2 linked regions of the Nothobranchius furzeri genome follow. The protein of the gene in region 1 interacts with the protein of each later gene in a pairwise test. Links are inferred from orthologs where the notes say so. Each region holds a gene or a part of one and is shown in the gene's direction. Other genes may lie near its edges.

Region 1 (3,817 bases):
AATGGACAAGCTGTTAGCATTGATTAGCTATTAATACGGACTAGCTGTTAACATTGACTTGCCATTAGTTCAGACTAGCTGTTAGCATGGACTAGTTGTTAGCATTGATTAGCTATTAGTATAGACTAGTCATTAGTTCAGACTAGCTATTAGCATTGACTAGCTGTTAGCATTGATTAGCTATTAGTATGGACTAGCTGTTAACATGGACTAGTCACTAGTTCAGACTAGCTGTTAACATGGACTAGTCATTAGTTCAGACTAGCTATTAGCATTGACTAGCTGTTAGCGTTGATTAGCTATTAGTATGGACTAGCTGTTAACATGGACTAGTCATTAGTTCAGACTAGCTATTAGCATTGACTAGCTGTTAGCGTTGATTAGCTATTAGTATGGACTAGCTGTTAACATGGACTAGTCATTAGTTCAGACTAGCTATTAGCGTTGACTAGTTGTTAGCATTGATTAGCTATTAGTATGGACTAGTCATTAGTTCAGACTAGCTCTTAGCATGGGCTAGCTGTTAGCATTGATTAGCTATTAGTATGGACTAGCTGTTAACATTAACTACTCATTAGTTCAGACTAGCTATTGGCATTGACTAGCTGTTAGAATGGACCAGCTGTCAGCATTGATTAGCTATTAGCATTGACTAGCTGTTAGCGTTGATTAGCTATTAGTGTGGACTAGCTGTTAGCATTGAGCCTCCTTCAGCCTCCTGTTTGATGAAACCCGAGCAGCAGAGAAACTAACCGGGTCAGTAACCCGCTAACTAACTGCTCCTCCTGCAGTCGATGCCGGCTGTCTACAAGATCGAGCTGAAGCATGGAGAGTTCACCTGGGAGGTGAAGAAGAAGGAGAAACACTTTGTGGACCTCCACAGAGAGCTGAGGACCTACAAGACCTTCATGAGAATTCCGCTGCCTTCACGCAGGTAAAATGTCTTCATGTTTTCTGTCCCGGGCTTCGAACCAACAACCCCCTTACTGATTTAATCTCTGCAGTCACACGGTGAGGAGGACGATATCAAGAGGCGAGGTGAGGCAGATGCCAAACCTCCCCAGAGGTAGAGCAGAGGAGCTGGGGAGAGAAGAACAAGTAGCCAGCCGCAGGGTTGGTGTCTGATCAGAGACCCGCTTGGGTTGGGTTGCTTCTGTTGAAGTCGTTATTTTTGTTTTCTGATCAGAAACAACTAGAAGATTACTTGAACAAGCTGCTGAAGATGCAGATGTACAGGAACTACTACGCCACCGTAAGATCCACAACCTTAAACAGAAAAAAATACTTTTCTGATGTTTTTATCCTTAAAACTGTAGAAAACAAACATCCTCAACTGTAAAATATTCTATATTTACACACACACACACACACACACACACACACACACACACACACCCTGTTTGCAGATGGAGTTTATGGACGTCAGCCAGCTGTCCTTCATCCATGACCTCGGACCTAAAGGACTGTAAGGAAAATCTGTTAAATTTTCTCATCCTTCAGTTTTAGATTTGACGCACAAACTTAAGTTAATTATTGACTTTAATCAAATAACGGAAAACTACAGAGATTAAATAATCTGGTTAAATGAGGATTTTATTCAAATATAATCTCATAACTCTCTCAGTGATGTTTTTGAAATCATGTCTGAGGATTTCTGAGCTGATGGAAAGTTTTGATCTTCAGAGTAAATATTATTACTGAGTAAACATTTTTAATGTACTACTGATTGTATACACATGTATATAATCTAGAAGAGTAGAGGTAGATAAACCGGGTATTAGCCACACCCCCTGAGTGTTCCTCGTGTCTTCTAGAGAAGGAATGGTGCAGAAACGATCCGGTGGACATCGGATTCCCGGCATGAACTGCTTTGGTCACAGCAAGATGTGCTACCGCTGGTCCAAACGGTCAGTCCATGCAGACCACCCAGAACATTACATCATAAATTAAGCACTGTTTTGTTAGAGAGGTAAACAGGGCAGGTTTCGTTGTTTTAATTGGACCAGAACCACAAGTTCCGATGGTCCAGGTCTTCAGAGCCACAGTTTGCCCCATTTTAAGGCTGATCTGATGATGGACCTGTTGTCTCCGTGATGACGGACCTGTTGTCTCTGTGATGATGGACCTGTTGTCTCCGTGATGACGGACCTGTTGTCTCTGTGATGACGGACCTGTTGTCTCTGTGATGACGGACCTGTTGTCTCTGTGATGACGGACCTGTTGTCTCCGTGTCCAGCTGGCTGGTGGTGAAGGATTCCTTCCTGCTCTACATGAAGCTCGACTCGGGCGCCATCTCCTTCGTGATGCTGTTCGATAAGGAGTTCTGCATCAAGATGGACTTCAAAGACACTGAAACCAAACATGGCCTCCGCATCGACAGCCTCTCCAGGTGTGTGCAGCGTTTTTCTTGGTCCCACCGGAAACACGGAGCGCTGCTGAACATTGTGTGTGTGCAGGTCGTTGGTGCTGAAGTGTGCCAGCTACAGACACGCCCGCTGGTGGGGGCAGGCCATCGACTGCTTTTCCAAGAAGCACGGCGCCGCCTTCCTCAAGGACCACCGCTTCGGGTCTTTCGCCATGGAGGAAAAGAACATCCCTGCCAAATGGTAACAATTAGGGAGGTTCCTCTCAGGTTTTTTCCTCCCGATCCGATTCCAAGTCTTTTTTTTAAGAGTCTGCCGATCCCGAGTCCCGATCCGATACTTAAGAAATGCATTAAGACAAAAGGACACACCAGAGTTGTCCTTTAATCTTTTGATCACTAATGTGCTTATTTCTTGTATTTCTGTCGTTTCTTTAGTTTATCTAACATAAAACATCACTTATTTAGGAAGTATATTAATGAGGAACGTGTTAATATGAAGAACAAATCAAAGAGTAGCCTCATTTCTAATAGTTTACTCAGCGTGCGCTGTATTGAGTGACAGGGATGGCAGGGCACATGACGGTAAGCAACAGGGTCACTCTTTTCAACATAACACCTGTAGAGCTGCTGCGTCTGTAAAGGTAGGAAGAGAACACCGATCCTCCCGTGAGCCACGCAGACTGCAGAACCCGCGATTGCAACCGGACACTCGCCGGTGGGAGGTGCTGCTGTCCGTAGACTTTCATTTCTTGACACATCTTTTATTCGTGTCGACGGGCTTATCCGCATTGTTGCAGCAAACTGAGCAGGAAGAGTTTTTTTAAGGTGGTGCATCAGCTTTGTAGCGTTGAACATGGCAAAACCAGTTCCATCGTGGTAAATGCCCAGTTTGCACACATTACACGCGTCTATTACACTCCTTTTGCTGCTTGTTTTAAAATACCTCCAACTTACAGACGTTCTCTCTCTCTCTCTAGAGGCCACAAGTGTGCTCTGTGTGACCTGTTATCTCCCGAGCTACCTTAACTTGTGGGGCTTTACGGTGTGGTTGTCTGTGAAACAGAGCACTGGTGAATTAAAACCAAGCCTTTTATAATCTTTCTCAGGATGGATTGTTGTTTTAAATGGTTAAATCAGATTATTCCCACCTGATTTTGGTCCGTTCAAAATCACCTGATCAGATCGGAGCATCCCTAGTAACTATAGCAACCAGCTAGCAGAATTATGTCCAGGCTGGACCTCCTGTTTGTAGGATTTCCTTCTTCTTTACAGTTTTATTAAACGAGATTCTGGGAGTGATCGCTGGGATCTGGATCTGGCTCAGACCTGGACCTTGATCTGTCTCTCTCTGAACGAGGAACACAAGAACAGGGATCAATAATTAGTTTACGTTTTTATTTGGGTGTCAGGAATCTTTAACTCATTCACTGCCAGCGTTTCTCACCATTTTTA
Region 2 (4,590 bases), on another chromosome or scaffold:
CGGGAGGAGGGATTTGCTGGCTGGATAGCAAAGTGACATCAGCATTGAAAAATGTGTGTGTGTGTGTGTGTGTGTGTGTGTGTGTGTGTGTGTGTGTGTGTGTGTGTGTGTGTGTGTGTGTGTGTGTGTGTGTGTGTGTGTGTGTGTGTCTGGTATCAGACACAATTTCGAAAAGAGTTCCTACTCTGTTTCTTTTATTTGTCTTTTGAACATTTCCATGACAGTCAAAACAGTCACGGGAAGCACCTTTGAAGACCAACCAGCATTTGTGGGCATGGCCAACTTGGCAGAGCTGACAAGTGCAGGACACAAAACGCTGATGAAGACACCAACACCTGGTGACACTTCTGCAGAAGACTGTAGTTTACCATTAAACATGTCATAGTAAAAATCTCTTTTTTAAATTACATTTCTGAAAAAAAAAATAGCCTAGATCCGAATGGCTGGTGTGGAAGCGGCCTCAGCCTGAGACTTTTGGAATTATTTGGACACCTTCTCAGTGGCCTGGTGGTAGAGTGTCCGCTCTGGGAGCTCAGGGTTCAAATCCTGGTTGGGTCATTCCAAAGACTTTAAAAATGGGACTCAGGGCCTCCCTACGTGACAATCAACTTTAAAGAGGTTGGATTGGGGTGTTAAACTACCAAATAGTTCCCGAGCGCATGTACAGCTGCAGCTGCTCCCCACAGGGATGAGTCTGATGCGGAGATGAATTTGAATTTCACCAGTGTGTGATGACTATTGGGACTTTAACTTTAAATAGGGCAAGCTGTGGTATTGAATGCAATCAGAGATCATCCAAGAAGTCTGCTTCATTTTATCAGCAAATGAAATGACAATTCTGTACTTTATTCCACTGGTGGAATGGGGGAAAATGCTGTGCATTTAACATAACACTGCTTGGACTAACGTCCTAGTAGGGACGCTGGCTGGATAAAAAAACTTGCGCGGGTGAACAGCGTTTTCTGTGTTCTGGCTGGGAACTGGCGGCTGGCTGCTCCTGTTTCCCAGGGCAGCTGAGCCATGCAGCTGTCTGGCTGCCATGCAAGGCTGTGGTCATGATGGTCACCTGTGGAGCTCTGAGGGAGGTGGTGCAAACCTCCCGTTTTGTTTAAAATTATACATTAAGAGATTATATATATATATATATATATATATATATATATATATATATATATATATATATATATATATATATATATATATATATAGCCAGTACACATCGGGAGAATCTCAGCTGTGGAGCTTCTTCTGGGCTGTGCTCCTCGCTGAACCCGTGAGATCACAAAATCCCTTGAGACGTCATGGTTTGAATCACCATGATAGTCTGGACTCCATTTAAACCAGTGACGTCTGCTGCTGTTGCACGCCACTGATGCTTCCAGTGTGAAGTAGGGGAGAGTGACAGAGTCCTGAAATGACTCATTCTGGAAAGTACTGAAATTGTCAAGAAACTGAAACTGCTTTATGTAATAGGGATTTTGAGCAAAAACTTGAACATGTTTTAAAGATTAAAGTTTGATTTTCATACCCTAGAACTATCAGGATCTAACTATTCGTAATAAGTCTCCTTGAAATGCTGCAAGCAAATATTTATAACAAATATAATTAGCAAGACAATTTCAGAGCGAGTTTTTTTTTAATAGACAATCTCTGAACAGAGTCAGACAGCGTGCTTTACCGTGAGAGAGAGAGAGAGAGAGAGAGAGAGAGAGAGAGAGAGAGAGAGAGAGAGAGAGAGAGAGAGAGAGAGAGAGAGGCGTTTCCACGTTCCAGGTTCCAGCAGCAGCCGGTCTCAGAGCAGCAGCAGACAGCGCAGCAGCACTCGGACTCTCAGCGGAACCACGACTAGCCCGAACCCTCAGTGTCACCATCCCCGAACTCCGGCTGCCAGCCGCCCTGACCCGCGTCTCCTTCACGAACTCTGAGAAACTCACTCACGTTCACCACACGAAGACGCAAAAAGCGCTCCAGGCGTGACTGAGAACCGGGGTGGACCTTCAGAACCACGTCTGTCCCCGCGGCTCCACACCGACATCTGGCTCCCAGAAGACCGAGAGGAAACTATCTTCCCGCTGATTCCCACCTCATCTCCCTGTTAGCTGACCCAATCCTAGCGTGTTAGGGTGAGTAAATCTGTTTCCTCCATGTTTCTCCACCCCTGGACGTCCCAGACCTCCCGTAGTCTGTTATTTTACTTTATGGCACGAATCCGCTCTCAGCCTACTCTCCTCATTCATGCTGGGAGTCACACCGACTCCTCCATTCACGGAGACGGTCTCTTCCCTCAGTGCATACCGTTACATGGCGACCGTTAGAGGATACTTCACAGCCGCCGTGGAAAACGGAGCTTTCCTGCTTTGTTCTAGCATCTAGTACTGTTGCAACGATTTTAAACTCCAATGACTTATTTATCGAGTCAAATTAAAGTAAAGTGATTTTCGTCAGATGATAAGTGGCTCAGGTAGTTGCCTTTTTCGTTTATTAGAGGCTGGTTTGTGAATGGTCCCGTCTCTGGGGGGCTTTTAACACAGCAGTGGGTAAAGTAATTGGATTGGGATTAAAGTGGCTGACAGCATTCATGTATCCAGTGTCCTTTATTTGCCCAGAATCTCCATGGTAGTGCGGCTCTGACCATGTTCTGCTGCTGAAATCACAATCATGTTACATAACAACAGCCTGCAAGGACTGGCTTTCTTGGGTCGTTTAGGGAGAGATGTGTGGCTCTCCTGGGGTCCAGTGGAGCAGATTTTATAGAATATTCTGGATGTGCATCAAAATGAATGTTCAGTCTGGGGAAACCTTTGGTGACCCACCTGTGATTGCTAGGTGTGTGTGTGTGTGTGTGTGTGTGTGTGTGTGTGTGTGTGTGTGTGTGTGTGTGTGTGTGTGTGAAGATGTTTTTTTATGAATGGATGCAGCTGCACGACCAACTGTATCCGTACAGGAGCAGTGGGAGATGACCGGATGCTTTTTACCTCTACCGGTTCCTTGTTACTATCACCAAATCTTCCTACATTTCTCTTCTTTTGTCAAATGAAGTAAGAAAAATAAGCTCATTAGTAGTAAACAAGGCATGGTTTAAAGAAAGCCATTCCTTTTCTTCTTTGAGTTTATCGTTAATGTTTTCGAACGTTCTGTTTTTAGTCACAAGAACAGCCTCTATCCAGCTAATTGAGAGCAGCAGACTATTTAATTCAAGCATAGATTACTAGAATTACATCTACGACACTGACGCAAGTCTTGAACGGTGCAAAAAACAAAAGCTGAGCTCCAGTTTATTAAAATTACCTGAAATCTGGAACTCCAAATGTCAGACATTACTGACCAATCCTGATATTCTATTTCCAGTCCAGTAATGTGTGTTTTATTTATGTTTATGTTGGTTTTGTATTGAAGTAAAGAAAGAGGAAAGAAAACGATCTTTTATTTAGCTCCTCTCAAGATAAAAATCACGCTTCACAAAAACAAAACATTTATAATATAAAGAATATTTTAAAAAAGGATTAAAAACATGTTTCAAAATGACAAAAAATAAATAGAATTTTGGATAAAAAATGCAAGGAAAGGGAGAGAGAAAATGAACAGGAAAGAGGGAAATCGTTGGATGAATAAGTAGAAAGAGCAGAATAAGGAGAGGGTGGTGATGAAGGTCACGCTGAAGCCAGCCTGAACAGGTGAGTTACTCCATCATACTCACATTACCATCCAGCTCCTATTTGTTTTCATCAGCTTTTGGTGGATCTGTGTGCTCTTCAGAGTTGGACAAGTGTTGACATGGCAACCAGAAGCAGCCTGTTTTTACTGTCTCTTCTTTGTCCTGTTTATCCAGATCCAGGTGCTGTTGAAAAGTTCAGTAACTGAGTGTTAAAGAAATAAATGTGCTAAATATGCTTTGGGAGAGTCTTTAGCCAGTTCTAGAATAATCTATCTTTGAATGATGATGTGTCCTTCATGTAGATAAAGCAGGACCATACGGGTGTTTCAGTGTTTTTGTTGGAATTTCTTTGTAAAGTGGTAGGGCTGTGTCGTTGTTGAAACTCCTAACTCTCACCGATATAATTTTTACCGTGCCAATAAACTCGGCCAAAAAAAAATGTAAAGAAGTGTGTGGCTTGGTGACATTCATGTCCTTTTAAAGCCTCTTTTCGGAGTATTTCTCTAATCCGATAGCACCATCTAGTGGCTGACAAGCATATCACACAAATAATTTCTCCTTCCGTTTGTTTAAGGTGGCGACTTCATGTTTCTTGTTTATAAACGCGCTTCTGTAGCCAACAAACGGAGCTAAAACACGTTGTTTTACGAGTATTATTCTCATGTCATGTTGTGTTCTCATATATTTATATTTTAGAGACTGAGGCCTAGTCCACACGTAGCCGGGTTTTTTTAAAAAAGATTATCCGCCCCTCCAAAAACTTGCATCCACACCACCTCGTTTTAAAAAAACTGTCCACACGAACCCGGATAAATACGTTGTTAAGGACATGCCAGACCTGTCGGCGGCAGTACTTCCCCCGTTCTTAACCTCGTCCTTCATCTGTGGTCTTCCGCAAGGAGCAGTAATTCCGCTTGCAAAAACAAACAAGCAAA

The links.
Region 2: the proteins of pld1b (region 1) and astrocytic phosphoprotein PEA-15 interact in a two-hybrid assay, tested with the Homo sapiens proteins (2 studies listed by BioGRID). The link is inferred for Nothobranchius furzeri from reciprocal best matches to the Homo sapiens genes PLD1 and PEA15.

The regions. Positions count from the first base shown.
Region 1 is NC_091747.1:63,413,923-63,417,739, forward strand, and holds part of pld1b (phospholipase D1), read left to right. Parts: intron 1-791; coding exon 792-934; intron 935-1,004; coding exon 1,005-1,113; intron 1,114-1,186; coding exon 1,187-1,252; intron 1,253-1,406; coding exon 1,407-1,465; intron 1,466-1,814; coding exon 1,815-1,907; intron 1,908-2,236; coding exon 2,237-2,389; intron 2,390-2,456; coding exon 2,457-2,606; intron 2,607-3,817. UniProt on the Homo sapiens protein: Function as phospholipase selective for phosphatidylcholine. Implicated as a critical step in numerous cellular pathways, including signal transduction, membrane trafficking, and the regulation of mitosis.
Region 2 is NC_091742.1:81,270,887-81,275,476, reverse strand, and holds the start of astrocytic phosphoprotein PEA-15, read left to right. Parts: upstream 1-1,758; 5' UTR 1,759-2,123; intron 2,124-4,590. UniProt on the Homo sapiens protein: Blocks Ras-mediated inhibition of integrin activation and modulates the ERK MAP kinase cascade. Inhibits RPS6KA3 activities by retaining it in the cytoplasm. Inhibits both TNFRSF6- and TNFRSF1A-mediated CASP8 activity and apoptosis.